3 linked regions of the Drosophila melanogaster genome follow. The gene in region 2 interacts genetically with the main gene of each other region. Each region holds a gene or a part of one and is shown on either strand. Other genes may lie near its edges.

What was found. A genetic interaction does not mean that the proteins touch.
Region 1: of Abd-B (region 2) and chm, changing one enhances a phenotype caused by changing the other (phenotypic enhancement), as found in Drosophila melanogaster (one study listed by BioGRID).
Region 3: of Abd-B (region 2) and corto, changing one enhances a phenotype caused by changing the other (phenotypic enhancement), as found in Drosophila melanogaster (one study listed by BioGRID).

Annotation. Positions count from the first base shown.
Region 1 is NT_033779.5:7,410,708-7,415,417, reverse strand, and holds the start of chm (chameau), read right to left. Parts: upstream 3,002-4,710; 5' UTR 2,912-3,001; coding exon 2,110-2,911; intron 2,037-2,109; coding exon 1,411-2,036; intron 1,345-1,410; coding exon 1,187-1,344; intron 1,127-1,186; coding exon 754-1,126; intron 1-753. Other genes in the region: CG15818 (uncharacterized protein), read right to left, coding at 3,612-4,463.
Region 2 is NT_033777.3:16,928,209-16,935,756, forward strand, and holds the start of Abd-B (abdominal B), read right to left. Parts: upstream 6,035-7,548; 5' UTR 4,824-6,034; coding exon 4,163-4,823; intron 3,406-4,162; coding exon 3,194-3,405; intron 3,110-3,193; coding exon 2,908-3,109; intron 1,645-2,907; coding exon 1,430-1,644; intron 1,373-1,429; coding exon 1,181-1,372; coding exon of another isoform or gene 1,022-1,180; 3' UTR 1-1,021. UniProt on the Drosophila melanogaster protein: Sequence-specific transcription factor which is part of a developmental regulatory system that provides cells with specific positional identities on the anterior-posterior axis.
Region 3 is NT_033777.3:5,082,372-5,089,100, forward strand, and holds the start of corto (corto), read right to left. Parts: upstream 4,702-6,729; 5' UTR 3,655-4,701; coding exon 2,002-3,654; 3' UTR 1-2,001. UniProt on the Drosophila melanogaster protein: Essential protein required for proper condensation of mitotic chromosomes and progression through mitosis. Binds to specific polytene chromosome sites, many of which are shared with the posterior sex combs (Psc) protein.

The DNA of each region.
Region 1 (4,710 bases), on a different chromosome or scaffold from region 2:
CCGTACATTCTGGTGGGAGGTCAAGAAACCGTGGCTGCTTTTTAAAGCCAGGGGAAATGACTCTCTCGTTCGCGCCGCTTGTTTCTCTCTGTCTGTTGCTTATTTACCCGAAAACGTTGACAAAAAAATTAAATGGAAAAATCATCTGCTGTTTTTGGTGGGCATGGTCAAGGCAGAGCTCACTGTCTGCATCTGGATACAACCATATAGTCTGCTTGACGGTACATATGTATGCACCGTACATGGGCTGTGGCTGCCATTCTGGGAGTCTGGGATACCGGCTTCTACATTCCTCGCATCTCTATTCCGTCTCCAGACATAAAGGAATCATAAAACTGTAAAATGTTATTATTCAATTTTATGCTGGGGAATAACCATAAAGGTTCTGGAAAATTCTGGCGCACAATTGCAGCGCGACTATTCAAATAATAAGCAATTAGGAATCGAAATCATTAGAGCAGGATCAGATTTTCCGCTTTGGTTTCCAATTGCTTAGGAATAAAGGGAAGCATTAATTTTTGTAGTTAAGCCCTCTATTAAGCTCCTTATTAAATATTCATTTTGATACTTTAACTGCTTCAATATGTAACTCAACTTAAAATTATATTTAACTTAAAATTTATAATTCAATGAGCTGGAAAATCAAAGTGGATTTGTTATTTCAACTGCTTGATGTTTGATTAGCATATTAGCATATTCAGTTTTTAACAATTACCAAAGAAAATATACATTACGAATAAATACTTTACTTACCTTGCTAAAATAACCAACAATATGACATCCATCCACATCGGCCAGCGTCATAATGTAGAAAAGGAAGGGCTCCACATCGTAGTAGAGGGTTTTGTGATCCAGAAAGAATTTTGCTAGCAGGCACAGATGCTGACAGTATTGCTTATAACGTTTCCCGTCCACCTGCCACACCTGTAGTTTGCCCTTGCGGTATATCTCATCGCCCGGCGGATGCCGCCAGACGCATTTCTCGGCATGCCGCTTGATGCCCGTCTCTGATTTTTGGTAGCGCAGGCAGAATTCGCAGATATACATTTTGGGCAGGCGGGCAGCATCGTCCGGATAAGGGGATTGATACCAGACCTTCATCTTGTACTTGCCCATGCTGATATATCTGTCAGACGTAAGGGTTGTAAATTGATCTCCATAAGTTTGTTATATTACTACTACTTACTTTATTCCCTTTCCCACGGGCAGGTCCTTGAGTTCGTCTTCGATCCTTTCGGATGCTTGAGCTTGCGCTTCCCGGAACAATTGCAAATCATAGTCAGGCACCAGGCCTGCCAGATTTGGTTCCCGGTCCTCGTCCGTTACGTCTTTTTCCAGCTTTACCTGAAGCGTAATCAAATAGTTAGCAATAGTCTCATATGGACTTTCAAGCTAACCCACTATCCTCACCTTCGAGTCTAAAAAATTGTTATTCGCCGGCTTAAAGTTAGCCCTTGACTCGCGAATCTTGGCCAGAAACTCGCGCTGCTCAGGCGAGAGCGTCTTGAGATTGGTGTTTTGGTTACCCGGCGCCGTCACAATGTTAACCGGCATCTTTAGTCGCTGTTCATTCCTCAGTTTTCTCTCATTGGCACGCTCTTTGCACTCCGAGGCGGACATGTTGTGATAGATAGGACAGGCCTCCGGCAAAAAGTGCTTATCCAAATTGCCACTCAGATGTCCGGATGAATCGCAGCCCTCGATGGGACACTTCTTCTCAGTCTGGGTAATCGGTGACACGGGTCGGGATTTAATGGAGCTCAGCACGCCACTGCTGATTCCGATTGGTTCCCTTTTCACTTTGCTTTTGCTGGCGTTCAAATTCGAGGGCGCTGGCTTTTTGGCGGGACTTTTGGAGATCATAATTTTGTCATCTTCTAGGTCTCCATCGGATTCAGAATCGGTTTCCTGTTTGGGTTGCTGTTTTGTCCTTCGCATGCTGAGTGATCGCGTCAGTTTCCTCATGGGATTGGCCTTGTCTTTTCGCTCTTCTTCGCTGTCGGAGTTTTGGATTTTTGTTGGTCCGCTTCTCTTACCTATAATAATAAGAGTTAAATTTAAATATTATTAAAATCCTTACATAAATTCTATACTTTATACCCTGCCTACCTTTAGCTCCTCCTTTTACTGGCTGCGAGCTGTAGGAGTTGCTGGAATCACTTCCCTCAGACTCGCTTCCTGAACTTGATTCGTCGCCCGAGTTGGAGCCACTCTCGGAGCCCGAACTTCCGTCACTGCTGATCACCGGTCCCCCGCCGTTTTTCTTTGCCGGCGGCAATTTTCCTCGGATTTGTTTGGGCCTCACCGTGCTGGCCATTTTGAGGGGAACCTTCCGCCCGTTTTTAACGATCTTCATAGAGTCATCTGTGCTATTGGACGAGGAGGAGAGCGAGGGTCGCTTGCCCTCGCCGTTCTCCAGTGATCGATTTGTGTTGTTGTTGGCCGATCGCTGGGTAGGATTGCTCGGTTTGTTAGCGGGATTGCTTGGCTTGTTGACGGACGCGGGTGGTTTTCTCCTGGCTGCTGAGGCGGCAGCTGCCGCTGTTACAGTGGAACTGCCCATTGCACGTGAGTTCTTTTTGGCCGGCGGCGCCGAGTCCTCATATTCGTCGTCATCGCTGGAGAGTTTACTTTTGGGAGGATTGTTTACTTTTTTGCTAGATGGCGCTACGCTCGGCTTGGGTTTATCCTCCGACGCCGCAGGAACAGGCTTTCTTCTCTGTGCATTTCCGGAATTAGTTTGTTGTTGTGTTTGCGTCTGGGATTTGGCGGAGGAATTCGTGGATGGCTTCTCCTCCGGCGTCGCACTGCTGGAATCCGTGTCCGAGCTGCTGCCCGTTTCCGAACTGGTGGATCCGCTTGTGGATGAGCTGCCCGACTCCGAGCTGCTGCTGCCGGACTCCAAGGCCATTTTTGTAGCGCAGAATGTTTTTTTTAATATTTGTACACAAAAATGCCTGTTTTCCTGTATTGTTTTGATTAGAGTGGCCAGAGGTGGATGCCAAGCGGAACGCCATGGGAATCGGCCGGAGCTATCGGCTTATAATATGCTAGAGATGTGCAACTAGGGCACAAAAATATCGTATTCCAAAAATATTTTAGTTAGCAAATATTAATTGAAATACGAACCTACACAGTTTATTGCCTTGTTTAATAGGAGTTTTTAAAATTGATATAAGCCAGTTTTTGTGATTAAAGTCGAAAATTTCTTTATTCATTTGTTGCTTATAAAGAGTGCTTGTCGAGTACGATAAATTTAATAATCTTAACGAGGAATCAATCTTAATTTACGACGTGCGGGGAACCAAAACCAGAAAAACAAATAAAATAAATTCGATAACAGCAATCTCTTAAGCCTATTACTCATTTCAGCCAATTTATTTACGGCGCCATGTCGACTTTTTTGACAATTTGAAACGAAATAATTTCCTATCTGTGGCAATCACTTGTTGTCAAAAAAAATTGCCCTTAAACCCTCTCACAAAGAAAAATTATTGCTAAAAGCGTTATTAAATGTTCCCATCAATTTTTGCATCAAATGCAGTAAAGTGAATTATAGTATTTGTGGTTTTGTTGTAATATTCATTCATACATGTGTTGATACTTTAAAACTAAACATCACTGTCTGATTGGCAAATGAAATGCATAACGTCAGTGGTACAGGACAGAACGATCATAATGTTTTCGTGCCCAAAAACGTAGGCGCAGTGCTGGGTAGGATTATTGTATTTGGGTTCATTTTTGCGCCACTTGAAGTAGGTAGCTCGTTTGCCGGAGGCCAAGGATATAAACTCGCCCTGCTTGGCCAGATCGTTGACACCCAGCCAGTAGTTCGCCTTGTTCAATTGGCCCACTATGGCGTTGTATTCCTCGGCATTTTGGAATGCTGCGAGGTGGCCGCCCATTTCAATGCACCTCTGCTCGGCGGTCCTCCAGTTCACCTGTAAGTTGTGTTCGATGTAGAAATATCTCGATCCTATCTGTTGATATCTCTGCAGCACGAGTTTCCTTTCGATATCGGATAGAGTCTTCTGGATGGCTGTCAACTGGTTTTCCGTCCTCTTCTGTCCATCTTTCAACTGATTACTCAGCGCTGTCTGATTGCCTTCGATATCCTTTAGTTTTTGCTCAAGGTCCTCGGTTTTGATTGCCTTCGAAATGTTGTTCACAAGGAATGCTTGCTGGGCTTCTATTTGGATTTGTGTCGCCGTCAACTGGTCTTCGATCTTATCCAGTTTCGCGACGCTTCCATTAAGTTTCACCTCGCAGGCTCCCCAGTCCTGTTGCTCCTTCGAAAGGTGATCGATGACCGGCTGCAGTGCGGATACGCAATATTCACTGCACTGATTGGGAGGATCTGATAATAGACACACATAGCGCCTGCCCTCCTGGGCTTCTATCAGGGATCCGTAAGGATACAGCAATAGAAATGCGCACAAAATAATTCTCGTAGAGCTAAACATTTTGGACAACCACTGAGGTTGAAGCTTGATAAAGAACTGATACTGAAGTAATTGGCTCTCTTTTTAAAGGCCCGGCAATATGGTTGATAAGCATATTTGATCTTCTTATTAAAATTGTCACAAGAAATTTGATGTGGTATCATAAGTTATCATTATTTGTAAAGCGTTGTCAATATGGTATGGTAGTAAAGTAGATATGTACTTCAACTTAATGACATACTTCATTTCTGAAATCAGCGCTAAAGTC
Region 2 (7,548 bases):
TTAAGTGTGTATCTTTTAAGTTTTTGTTGCTTTAGCTTTACGAGTAGTTTTGTTAAGTGTTTTCCTTGGTTTAAGAGTTAATTTAATTCGAAAGCGACTTCAACTATGGGGTAAACATGCACACACTCATTGAAATTTTTGCAACTTACAATTAACCATTTGCTAAAATCGAATCCGAGTTCATATTATACAAATATTGAATATCTCTGCGTGTACGCAATATACATATACATATATCTGATGTAATTTAGTTATCGAGTGCTCGCTTCGGCCGGAAATCAGCGCAATGTCTTAGTTTATATACAGGAACTTAGAAGGTATCAAAGGACACGACACGACGAACATTATACGACAAAATTTATCCTAGACTGCGGAGTGTGTCTTCTTGTTTGCGGAGCTGTGAGGGGTCCGAAAATTGTTAAACAATTTCAATTTGTGTTTCAAGAACATTTATCTGGGTCTAAAATGTGTTCTGCTGCTCAGCCTAACTCAGCCGCCTTGTGGCCGCTCTTAATTGGATAGGTATGGTAAAATCTACTACTCGAACGCGTGTATTCATAATTTATGCGGGGTTATATTCACTGACGTTTAAGTATATTCATATTCATAATTTATAGTTCGGAAAATTCATAGTGCTCGCCTAGGCTAATGAGAGCGTTGAGAGAAATACGTACATACATATATTTTCGTACAGTTGCGAATTTCAAGTGCATCTGCTACTGCTGCTGCTTACTCTTCATCTTACTCGTATCTATATTCAACTACCGAACTAAGCTGCATTATCGTGTTGGGGCTTGGATCTCTGGGATCCGTAGAACTGACTTAATAATAAACTGCATTTGCATCAACGTCGGTTGGTCACACATCAGCGACGCCTGCGCACTTCTGGGCAGTTGCTCATCCACATCCTTGCTCCTCATTGTGGTCACATATTCCTATCCCGCATGCTAGAGATCTCTGGTTTTTGTACATTTAACCGACTGAACTCGGCCTGGCTGGAATCGCCCTTCCAATCGCTGGACTAGCATGGAAAGTCCATGGCCAGCTCGTTCTTGATTAGATGATGGTGATTCGGATCGGACATGGGGTTGGGATTCGAGCTGGGGTTACCCGAACTCGGATTGGCTAACTGCTAGTAGGTGGCAAAGCCCATGGCGCCAGCGCTGCTGTTGTCCAAGGGTCACTGGTGCATCTTGGCGGCATGGTGACCCATGTTCAGGCTAAGGTTCAGGTGGTGGCCGCTGTGGTGCTGCTGGGTCGCCTGCGCGTGGTTGTGGTTGCTGCTCGAATTGTTGTTGTTGTTCTGCTGATTGGCCTGGCGCTGTGAGTTCTTCTTGTTCTTCATGCGCCGATTCTGGAACCATATCTTGACCTGAAAGGAACGCCTGTTTAATGAATTCAGTTCAAGTCAGTAGGTTTATGGACTCACCTGTCGCTCGGTCAGCTGCAAATTTCTGGCCAATTCCCAGCGCTTTTGCTTGGAAACATACGCATTGAAAAGAAACTCCTTCTCCAGCTCCAGGGTCTGGAACTTCGAGTACGGCTTGCGCTTTTTCCGGACGGACACCTGACCGGTCCACTCGTGCAGTCCGGGATTGGGCGTGCAAGGACCCACTGCTCCCACGGATAATCCACCAGAGGCTCCTGAAAACATCATCAAGTAATGGGGTTAAACTACATGGTTAACTTCATTAAACCGCAAGTGCGGGTGGTCCGATGGTTTTGTTGCTCGGTGTTCGGTGCAATATCAGATCGTTAAGTTTATAGAGCAATTACGGAAATTGTTTAGCAATAAGCGTAATACGAAATTATTCAATTCCTCATTTATGGCCTCTTAATTGGTGCGGTACGGGGAGCGGAGCTCCGAATTGGCATGAGGCCCATATTCACACTCGAGTGGATAACACTAAATGAATACATTCGTTCCCGCTCATTGGCCGACCAAATGAAGCAATTAAATTAATGTTGAAATAAAGTGACAAGTTGGATTTATTTTAATTTAAACGCTAGTTCAGCACGAGTGAAGAGCTTTTCGAATCTAATCTGATTTCTTCGATTAGTCTTGGTAGCATTGAACAGTTAGGACAGTTAGGTCAGATTGGAAATTAATTATCGAGCCTAAGAGACCTGAATTCCAATTGTAAAATTGGCTGGCGAGGTCACTTAACTGACATATTCCGCCATAATAACGAGTCTTTACTATGGATACCATGGATACTACTGGGAAAATATGACTAGTCGACAGATACAATTCTGGCAGTTGAAAAACACCTGGTGATAAGACACGAACATAAACAGGCAACCCCATAGAATGCAAACCCCAATGACTTTCGCACCCACATAAAGGCGTAACGCTAGCCAAATAGCGAGTATCGATTTATGGGCCGTTTTGCACTACGCTAATTGAACGACAAACTTGACGGTTTCGCAATTTGCTATTTCAACCGATACGACGACGAAAAGTCTAGTGCACATAGGAAAATCAAATAATCTTGAACTTTATATTGTAGGATGCTTAATATTTTAGGGCTGTTTAAATAATTGGCTTGGCTTTTAGGAAAAAAAATAATAGCACCATATAAAAAACACTTCCAAATAATTATCGATTCATTGGAAAATTTGACGGTCTATAAATATATATTTTACAATTAAAAACATTTAGGTGGAATTTGAACGCCTCTTTTTAAACAGAATTTTGAATTCGTATAATTTTTCACTTTAATTTAATTTCATATGAATAACCAAATATTTTATTAAAAATTTTAAGAATTGTAAACAGTAAATTTTTAATTTTTAATCTTTAAAATTTCTCCTCCCAAACTAGAGTTGCAAGATGCTCAAAATTATTTCCAGTGTGCCTAACCTCGTTACCCTTAAGTGTGCCGACTCTGGCCGGTCTGGACTCACCTGAGCTGGAGTAGTTCTCGCTGGGATAGCCGCGCAGGCCGCCTGGCGAGGAGTAGGTGGGCGGCTCATAGCTGGACGTCGATGTGCCCTCGACGGACTGTCGGGCGGCGGCGCTCACGTGGCGCTCCGCTTCGTTCATGTAGGCCGCCGCCGCTGCGGCAGAGGTGGTCTGATCGGGGCGGTAGTTGGGGCCCCAGTACTGCTGCGGGGGAGAAATGAGGTCGGGTTGGAACGAAGTTGCTTACAACTGATGTGGAGGCGTGGGTGGCGCTGTGGCCATACTTACACCAACCGGAAACTGCGTTTCTGGGTAAGGATAGGCGAACATGTGCTTGCGGTCGTAGTACCCGGAGCCGTAATGCTGATTGAATCCCTCGTCGTTGTAGGCCCAGTGTGCCGTGTGCCGCTTGACCGCCGCCGAGGTGTCCGTCTCGAATCCCGGACCGGCCCGGATGGCGGGTATATGCAGTGGCGCTAATTGTATGGACATATTGATGTCTGAAAGTAAACGATAAGCGCAGATTTGCTGCTGTTAATATTGGCACTAGGGCTGGTAAGTCTAATTTTAACGACTGTCTATGATCAAATCGACCTCCTTGATCATTTGGCATTTTATCACTTGGCGTGGCATTTGTGCCTATAACCCTTAGATTGTTTGTCGATGTCATGGATGTGGGTGCATTCACACCTCGTCTATATATAAATCTGTATATTTAACACGTGTCAACACTTAAGGTAATAAAATGGTTACCATAACGATTACGTTTCAAATCATCGTTTAATTTTTTTTTTTGTGTAAACTCTTTAAAAAAAAACCAATGCAGTTTTGAAGAACTTCAGTACACTCACAAACAATATTTTTAAAAATTTTTAATTTCCTTACAAAATTAAAGTTGTTACCACCCTGCAATTATATAGTCTATAATGATAAAACAGACGCAAATATTTTGAGTAAATAAATTAAATGCGTGACGATTCCTGGGAGAGTTAAAGAAAAGCCTTATCAGCCTTGAAAAACGTGCTGCAATCAGCACAACTGAAACGTTATTGCAACTGGGGGGAAAAAAAAACAAGTGGAACGACCCCGTTCCCAATTTAACGTCCCCAATTTATTTCGAGAGTTTTCCAGTTCAGATGTAGAAAATTTCAAAAAATATATTTCCCAACGATCTTTGAAAGCCCATAACCAATGGAGTTCCAATAAGAAATCCGCTGGTTTTCAACCCCAAGGAAAGTTATATTTCTGGGACCTCACCTTCCTTCTGAGAACTAACACTGGAGGGAGAAACACTCGCCGTGGTCGGCGCAACGATCTGCGTCTGGCCAGGAGCAACTGCAGCATTCTGCTGTTGCTGCTGCTGCTGGAGATTCGAGGAGGCGCCGCTGGCGACACTGTTCGGGGTTTGTTGCTGCGGCAGTTGCTGGTGGTGGGGCGATGTGAGATGTTGCTGTTGTTGGGCGGAGGGTCCAGTGGGTGTTTGGGCAGGACTGAGGGCGCCGGCCACCGGTGTTGTCGCCAGCTGTTGTTGCTGCTGTTGCTGCTGCTGTTGAAGTTGCTGCTGCTGCTGCGGAGCGGGGAGGTGTTGCTGCTGTACGGCGACAAGTGGCACAGGCGGAGGATCCTCGTACATAACCGCATGCGTGGGCGTGGAATGTGTGGTGGGAGTTGACTGCTGTTGCTGCTGCTGGAGCACCGAGGAGGGTGAGGAGGCGACGACTGCATGTTGCTGCTGCTGTTGCTGCTGCTGCAGGTGGGGATGCGCGCTGTGGTGATGGCTGGTGGTGTGGAGAGGCTGAGGCAGGTGGTGGTGCGCATGGTGATGCAGTTGCTGCAGATGCTGCTGCTGCTCCTGCAGATGCTGCTGCTCCTGCTGCTGCTGCTGCTGTTGCTGCTGCTGCAGATGGTGCTGCTGCATGACGGGCAGGGAGGGATGCGCCTGGGGATGCGGATGCGGGTGCGGGGCGGTGGGTACGTGGGTGTGGGTGTGTGTGTGATGCCCCCACCACGCCCCGGCAGCGGCGTGCGACCCGACTGCCGAGACATCGTGGGGGTCGTAGAGAGCGCACGCCAGCGGGATGGTTGGGGTTTGGGGGAGGGGTGGAATATTTACGGTTATCTTGGACGCGTTGCACTCGAACTGCGGCGGCGAGGATAAAGGCGGTGCAGTGGGGTCGATCGCCTCGACCCACCGACCTTTCTCTGTCTTTTTTTTCTCACTCCTCTGAGTGACGCCTTTCTAATTGTTTAAGTCTCTTTATATTTTTTTCGCGACTTAATAATTTTTATTTTTAATATTCAGAGCACCTTTACTCGAGTTTTGCCCCTTTTATTTGCGTACCGCACACGCACACAAACGTCCGTCAGCGGTCACACGCACACGCCGACTTACTCACACACGCACACTGCCTAAAGAGCGGGCGAAGAGAGTAACTTTGTTGTTGCACAGGGGATCGAATCAGCTTGAATTTCACAGGGTGCTTGCGGTCGTCAGCAACTCACGCAGTATTTTCAAATTGGCTTTTTTCAGTTTTCATTCGGTCAATCCAATTTTCCAAAACTTTTCCAATTTTTCCTTTGTCAGTTAATGTTTTCTTTTCACTTTTCTTTTTTTTTCGGTTGGCGTTTGTTTTTGATTTTCTTCTCTCTTTTATAATTATCATAAATAGTTTATTATTTGTGGGGCCTGCAGTCGTTGTTGTTGCTGCTGCTGGCGTTCGCTTTTTATGTTGCTGGTCATAAAATTTGATTTTACGACCAAAACAAACAATTAAAGGCAATGTTTGCAACAGTTAACAAAAATGTTATTATTTCTCCTCACAACGCCGGCGACACGATGTTTTGATTGTGTTTTTTGTTTTTTGATTTAATTTTTTATACGACTCCAAAAACGTTTCTTCTTTCAGTTAAATTTTTCGAAAATGTTCAACTTGTATTTTTCGAACCGTTCGAACGAAACACTCCCAGTCGAATGTGAATGTGAATGGACGGCGAGTACGAAATCGTTCAAGTCCCAGTCCTCGACGAAGTTGCAGGGCCGCTTGCCTCGGCTGTTGTTGTAGTTGCTGTTGTTGCTGCTGGACGCCCGCGCGCCTTCCAACCGAACAGAGCGAAGCACAAATCTACACTGACGGCAGCAACGCGCACGGCGACAACATATCCACATCGCTGGCACGGCACACCGACAACACAAGACCAAGACCAGAACCAGAACCAGCACACGAACACAAACTCTAAGCGCAGCGGCGCCAGCCCGCTCCAGTGTGTGTGTGTGTGTGTGTGTGTGTGTGTGTGTGTGTGCCTCCCCGTCCGTGTGACTTGGAAGAGAGCGCGGACATGCGCATGTTGCACAAGCACTCAGATTGATGGTGGTGGTGGTTGATGTTATGTTGATGGCAGTTGGTGCGGCTCTCTTGTGGCGCGTTATGCACACGTACACTGTATACAGCGTCTGTGTGGATCCCAGACTGTCAGCGAGTGTGCGTGTGTAAGTGGGGGGAGCCGAAGAGAGTTTTGGATGTTGCTGGGGGAAATAGCACTGTTTCAACTAGCGCCTTCAATGAGGTAAAGATGGTATCGCACTTCGACTGGGACTGGCTCTGGAATTCGCTGAGCTCAGCAGGTGCTCCAAGTCACAGGGGGTCATCGAGGGCGAAACACACACGCACAGTGTACGTGTGAAGGCATCCGCTCTTCAACGAACAAAAAACGCTCTCAGACTCACCGCCCGCTCTTACTGCCCGATTCTGGGGGCTGATTTGAATACTTAACACGCGCGCACCACAGCGCCATCTATGTCCGAGATTTCGATGGAATGGGGGCGGGGAGGCGTGGTAGATGGCACCACATTGTGTGTAGTTAGTTGGCTTGTTGTTGGCGCTTTTTATCGATTACCACAACAGCAGCAACATACAGAAAAACTCACTGCATAAAGACCATGGATCGCGACCAATTATACGAGTCGTCAAGCGCAGTGACTAATTAATGCTAATTAGTTAAACAAATACATGCGTGCGCCAGTTCAGTCAGCAAATTATGACAGCCCAATTGTTAGGAAACCCCGGGTCTCTTTTCACCCCTATCTCAACATCCTTTCTCCCTTTTGGCTCTTCTACAGATTCCCCTCCTTGTCTCACTTCCAAAGGCAGTTGCCAAATTTTACGCTGCAATGGACAATTATGGGAATTTTATGGCAATTGCCATTGGAAGAAAAGCAAAAGGCACGCAGTCGAGGCCAAGGAAATGTTAACAAATCGTAAAAAGGATGCGATGAGAACAACTCTCAACCCGTTTGACAACAAAATGTATGTACAATCGCATAAAAATCCATACTTAGCAATTACAATAATACATTTGAGCAGGGGCTTAAGAAAATGTCAGAAGTCATCGCGACTGGAGACGAATAATATTATTTCTTATGTGAAATCAGAACATTCATTTTTAATTTTTCACATCACGCATTTAGTTGAAGAGTCCAACTGCTTACATAACAAAGTTGATCAAGTAAACCCCAAAAAAACTTCAAGAATTCTACTTATAATAATACAAAACTTGTAATTAACTGCCGCAATCTATTTCCAAAAATAACTTCTTCGATTGAAATTATTATTCAACTTTTTTATTTATAAATAGAAATAAAGTAT
Region 3 (6,729 bases), about 12 Mb from region 2:
GTTGAATAAGTTATGGATTAATATGTGGTCTGGCCATTTCTTCGACTAACCGATGCGTCTAAACTGGTCCCACAAATTCCTGCAATGGTTCCGTCGTTCTGCAATTGGACTAAAGTCTTTTCTTTCTTGAATCTCGAGTGGATTGCGACCGCATGGTCGTGGAGTAGAGTCGGACTTGTTTGGATGTAGGGCAGCCTAAAGCGGACAGATGAGTCAGTGCCGGTCCCCCGGCAGCGGATGTCGTTCATTTCAGTTGAAAACTCTTTTTTGGCTTAATTAATTCGACGATTGGCTTAATGGCGCGCTGAATCCTCAGCGGGTTTTCCTGCCCATGCATAAATTACTCAGCTATTTGCTTTCCGGAACCCAGCAACTCCCATGGAACCGCGCCAATCGCCTCGACATGCAATCAGTAATGAAAGCACACACTTTCCCGAGGGACCTTGGGGGCGAGCAAAAACAATTTCAGCTGATAACATCTCGCGTTTCCTGGCCACTCGAAACCATTAGATTTTGCTGCGTTTTCACCTCGCAACAAAGACCAAAATTAGAGCCGTAAGCACTGAAGGCAAAGGCAGTTCGGTTATATCACTGTAACGAATGAACTTCGAGAATGCTGGTCTTTGAAAGGTAAGTACAGTGAGGCCGCTGGTGGCGTGAACAAGAACGTATTTAAACTTCTAATCGAAAACAAAGGCGTAAAAGCGAAATAACCGACGTCGTGGAACACATATATGTACATAGAGTGGAAATCAACATCTCTCGATATCGTAGTGTGTTGCCAGATTTAGTCCTTCAACAGCTGGCTCAAATACATTAAATAGTATATAAGTATCTAAGTATAAGATATTAATAGTGAAATTTCAAGAGACGTCCTCATGTCTAGCCATAAATCGGAGCCCTGTAAGTTTTCGAAATTCGTCTCAGCTCAACGGTTTGCCATTAGCGAGGGACCCCTGTGCTGTGCGCCGAGGTCACCCCAACCCGCTGCCCGGTCCTCCATCAATGACAATAATCAATCACGGCTCACCGCAGAGGAGGAGGCCATGAGGCGGAGCAGAATGAGGAAACAAAGGGAGCGAAGATGAAAATCGAATCAAGGCGAACAGAAAGAGGAGTTAGTCGGTCGGTGGTGGTGGGAAGTGTGAAAAGTTGGCCACAAAAGCCGACGGCAAGGGGAGTTTTCCTTGCCGCGGCCAAATCACTTGAACTATGCTTTTCTTGCTCGCTACGTTAATTGAAAACACAATTTACTTAATTTTTGCATATCTCGCTTCAAATTACGTTGCATAATTTTGAATAATTTTTATTCGTATTTTTTGTGTTGCTTTTTTCTGCTTTACTCTTCTCTCTCCATCGTTTGGTAATAATTTTCCTTTCATATTTTCGTATTCTTTCGGTAAATGGTTGTTGTAACATTTTGCTGATTTGTAATTAAATATGCGTATGTGTAACTTTTAGCAATTGTTTTGTTTAATGTTGCTGCCGTTGTTGTTGTTGTTGCAGTTCTTGTTTTTGCCGTTGTTGCAGTTGTTATTGTTTATGTGGTTGGCTTACACAGAGCGGTTGCTGTTGTTTCTTGTTGGTTGTTTAATTTAAATTAAATTAATTACTAAAATTATTTTATAACAAATATCACTACAATAGTTTGCATTTTTTTTTTTTGTTGTTGTTTGTTTTTGTATCGTTTATCAATTACTACCATTACTAAAAGAAAAAAAGATCGCTCATTTCCTCTTTTCTCACCGTCGGACAACAATTTCTCATAGCAGCTAGACAGAATTTTGTTTCATCTCTTAATATTTTTAGAGTTAATTACTTTTGATTCTAAAAGCTTTGATGGGTGTGTATATATAGTACTGTTTTAGGGGAGGATCTATTAATTATTCCTTGAGGCGGCTATTTCATCGACGCGTACTTGGTAGGCGCCTGTCTCATGTGTTGCAAGTTGCTGTTGCTGCTGCTGATGTTGCCGTTGTCCTGGTTGCTGCTGGTGCTGCATCACACGTTGTAGCAGGAGATCTGCGGCAGGTGCTGGAATGTGGGCGTGGCCGCCACCGCCGTGGCCGCCGAACTGAACGGCACAAACGAGGTCTGGCCGGCGGCAGCGGCGGCGGCTGCCAAGTTGAGCGAGGCGGCCGCCGCGTACGGGTGCATCCGCTGGGACCGCAAGTACTGGCGGTACTTTCCGCTCAACTTGTCGGTGGCCGTGTTCACTGCTCCCGTCGCCCCCGCACCACTCACCGCCCCGCCTCCGCCCACCGACGCCGACCCGCCCGAGGCCGCTCCGGCGGTGGGCGTGGCCGAGTAGAGGCGCATGGGATTGGTGTCAGGGCCGGCCTGATAATTGCTAGGAACTGTGGCCATCGGCGAGCGGTCCATCAGCATGGACGTCGCGTCCCACGGCGGCGGAGGCAGGCAGTGTTGCTGTTGCTGCTGTGGCTGCTGCTGCTGCACCTGCGACTGTTGCAGCTTCCCCGAGGCGACCGCCGTCTGTCCGTAGCTGCCGGAGATCATGGCGTCCCGCTTCCCGCCCCCTGCTCCGCCGCCACTACCCTTGGCCGCGTAGTGGCTGTGGGGATGCAGCATGTGGTGCGGCGTGAGGGCGGTGCGGGCGGCCAGCGCAGCCAGTTGATCCCACTGGCCGGCGGCTGCGGCGGCTATCGAGGCCTGGGCCGCAGCTGCCGCCGCTGAGTTGGCTGCATGGCTCTGGCTCTGGCTCTGACTTTGGCTTTGGCGTTGGCTTTGGTTGCTGCTGGCACGTTGCTGCTGCTGCTGCTGCTGTTGCTGCTGCTGGTGCTGGCGGACCAGACTAGACTGTTGCTGGGGATAGTGGGCCTGCTGCGACATCTGCGACATCTGCTGGTGCTGTTGCCGCAGTTGCTGCTGTTGCTGTTGGTAGCGTTGCTGCTGTTGTTGCTGCTGCTGGGCGCTCGTAGCCGCCCGGGCTCCACGCCGCGCGGCACTACTGCTGGGCGCCGTGGCCACCGCCGCACCGCTTCCGCCTCCGCCCAGGGCCGCTCCGCTGCTCAGCGAGCTGCTGCTCACCGCCCGCGCGGTCGCATGCATGTTGTTCACGAACGGGCTGCGCCGCTGCGACTCCATCTTGCGGAAGTAGCACGGGTGGATCATCAGCAGGGGCTCCACTCTCTGGCCCGCCGGCGGCTTGGGCTGGTTGGGCAGCTCGTACTCCACGCTGCAGTCCACGTGCAGCGGGATGCTGTAGTCCTTCTGCGGCGATGGAGCGGGGGCTGCGTTGCTGTTGCTGCTGGCAGTCTGCTGCTGCTGCTGCTGCTGTTGCTGCTGTTGTTGCTGTTGTTGTTGTTGTCTGCTGTTGGCAACCGCGGCGGCGACCTGCGTTTGGGTCGCCGCCGCATGGCTGTGGCGCGAGTTGCTGCTGCTGCTGGTGTTGGCGGGCTGGTGGTGATGGCGGTGGTGTTGCTGCTGCTGCTGCTGTTGCAGCAACTGCTGCTGGTGGGCAGCCACGGCGGCGTGGTACATGTGTTGCTGCTGCTGCTGGTGATGATGCTGCTGCTGCGTCTGGCTGTGCTGCTGCTGTTGCTGCTGCTGTTGCTGCTGCAGGGCGGACAGGGCCGACATGCCGTGCGACAGGGACGACATGTCGTAGTTGGCATAACAGGCGGCCATCGTCATTGCTGTATTCAGGGGATCTTTTAGCTTTTGCTCTCGTTTCGGTAACACAGAATTCGCTTTTGGTTTGCTTATTTACTTAGATTTAGATTTTTATCATTTTGCGGATGTTTTTCGCTTTCTTCACTTTCGAAAAAATTCACTTTTGTGGTTTTATTGGCACTGGTAATCCAAAAAGAGCGGCTAACGGTAAATTTGCCGCTGCAGGTAATCCGTGAGTTGGTTGTTGCTTTTGTTTTTGTGTTTTGAGATAGGAGGAACCTTAATCCATATGTGTGTTTGCTTTGCTTTGGAATTCGCTTTAACCCGTATAATATTAGCTGCTGTTCGCGTGTTTAACTTTGTTTCGTTACGTTTATTGTATATTTATTAGCGTTTTAGTCAGTCTTTGTTTGGTTTTACATAAATGCAGCGAACAGTTGGAGCTGCTGGGTGAGTGTGAGTGCGAGTGGGTGCGCGTGTCGGGGTGAGTGAACAATCCACGTGTGTTTTCAGTCTTTTTGCCCGTTTTTGCTGGCTAACTTAACCGTTGCTTTTTAGCTACTCCTTGTCTTCTTTCCATTCGGTTATGCTCTGTTCTGTTCTTTTCTCGCGGGGGTGAGTTCGCGGAGTAGGTAACTTGTTAGTTCTATGCGCAATAGAACTGCCGAACGAACGTCTCATCCACTCCGAAGAAAAACGCGATCTGAATTGTAGTTTCTGCTTTGTAGTTTTGCTGCCGCCGCTTGCTTCTCTGCCGCGGTCTCTGCCGACGTTTGTAAGCGCAGCGAGTATGCTGAATACGGAGCGCGCACGAAAAACAGCTGTTGGCTAGACGCCTACGCCTGTGTGTAGGCTTTGCTTTTATTGTTTTTGTTGATTGTCTGCCGATTTACTTATTTTTCGTATCACAATTGGCTGCGTTGCGTTTGTTTTTGGGTTTTAACTGCGTGTTCACCTTCGACGCGACGTTGAATCTTCTTAACTCTCTTCTTCGTTAATTACGTGCCACAGACCACGCTTTATCTCCTCCTATGTCCGCACGAATCGAGCTCTTTGAAGCGACTGACTCGAAACGTCGTCTTCGCTCCATTCTGCCGACGCCTACCTGCTGTTCGGCACAGCTGATGTTCCGTGACGTATTCAGCACACACACAGTCGCAGGAGACGAGCGCAGAGTTATTGTTATTGTTGCTTTCCTATATAAATTGCATTCAATGGCCGCTCTCTCTCCCTCTCTGTGACCGCTCTCTCTGTGCCTGCGTGTGTGTGTGTGGTATACATTCAGCCATGTTACTACACGGCGGCCATCTTTACAACTGCTTTGGTCGAGACAGAGAGAGACAAAGAGGCGAGAAAAGAGCGAGAGAGCGCACATTATTTTGTAATACGATGTCTTTAACCGTTTTAGTGCTTTAATTTTTTACGGCAAACGCATTTTTGGGAGCAGCTTTATGGGGTCGTAAAAGCAGATGGGTTCTAAAGGGGTTAACGGCGAGTTGAGAGCTAATTGAGCCGCACTAAAAACGGGGAGTTGAATGAATCTATCAGCATCACCTGGTTAAAATGGGAATGGGTTATTTTTACTTATGTATTTCTGAGCACTTTGGTACACCCCTAAAACTTAAAACCCATATAATATCAACATAAGCAGTGTGATCTCCACACAACTGCCTAAAAATCCTCTGCGACGCAACTTCGAACACACCTACGTAGTTCCTTAATATAAGAATACAACAAATACCCCAAGAACCTCTCCGGTTTTGGAATACGAAAGCTAAACTGCGCACTGAGAGACTTTCTGCAGACCAAAAAAGGAAAACAAATTGCAAAAACTCAAACAGACAGCGATATTAAACATTTCTGTACTAAAAAATGGGCAATTTAAGTCAGGAAAGGGCACTGTCTCGCTCGCACACACACAGCGAGAGAGCGAGAGAGAGTGAGAAAACGGCTGGGAATTACACACATTGTAATAAATAAGGAAGGTCGTTGCCATAGCAGCCGCCGTTGGCGTCGTTTTTTTCCCCCCATTTTGTTGTTGCTGCAAGAGAGTGGCTCGCTCTGTGGGGCTCATTCAGCAACTGCTGATAACAAATCAGCTGTTTTGTTATTTGGGGAGGTGTGTCCGCGTGCGAGTGTGTTGGTGAGTCTGGCTGTCTCTCTTGGTACATATTTGTTTTTTTTTTTCTCAAAGCATATGTTTGTTGGAATCGCTGTTGCAGCTGTTGTTGTTGTGGGGCTGAAAGTTGTTGCTGTCAAGTTGCCATTGCATTTCAGTGTTGTTGCTATTCGATGTGCAAGTAAAATGAAAACCTATGTGGCGGATTTGCATTGAAGCATGTCTTTTAATCCAAAAAGTAAAACTAATGCTTCTTATTGTCTACTAAAAACTAATAATTCGTATTATGTGCTAATTATTCTAAGACTCTTAAGAAAGAACATGATTGGTGCATGTATACAAGTTAATGGATACTATTGTTTGATAGCCTTAATGATTTCCTGCTTTTCTACTGTTGTTGCCATGGTTTTGTTAATGAATTGTCTTCATTGCATCTGGGATTGTGGATGGTTTTTGGAGTCTGGTTTGGGTTAATATCGACACTATAGTGTTGTAGCTTTATGCCGACTTTTATGGTGCTGTCGCTGCTGCTTTTAAGCCTTTTCTTTATTGGTGCTTCCGCCGTATTATTTGTATGGGTTTTGGATCTGATGTAGCTGCCAGCTTTGCACTCGTGCGTCCCTTTGTGTGCTTATTTCTGCTCTGCTGTGCTGTTTTTTTGCAGCTTTTTTCTGCCTTTGGTTGCTTTCTGGATTGATGTTGCTGCCGTGATGTTGCTGCTTGCGTGCTTAATGACGAGTCGGCCGCATTACAGTTTGATTACGGGCCGCCAATTTGGAAATTACCGAACTGCTTGAATTAGCGGGCCAGTCGCTCTGCTGGAGAGCCTATGGCTCAACCCCAACCCAAGCGAACGGCCAGAACGAACAAAAACGGGCAGCAGGAAATTGGTCAAGAGGGGCAACAGACAAAACGACAACTGCCAAGACGACGACAATGCCTGAAGTGGTATAGAAAACTTCGAAATTAGAAATTCC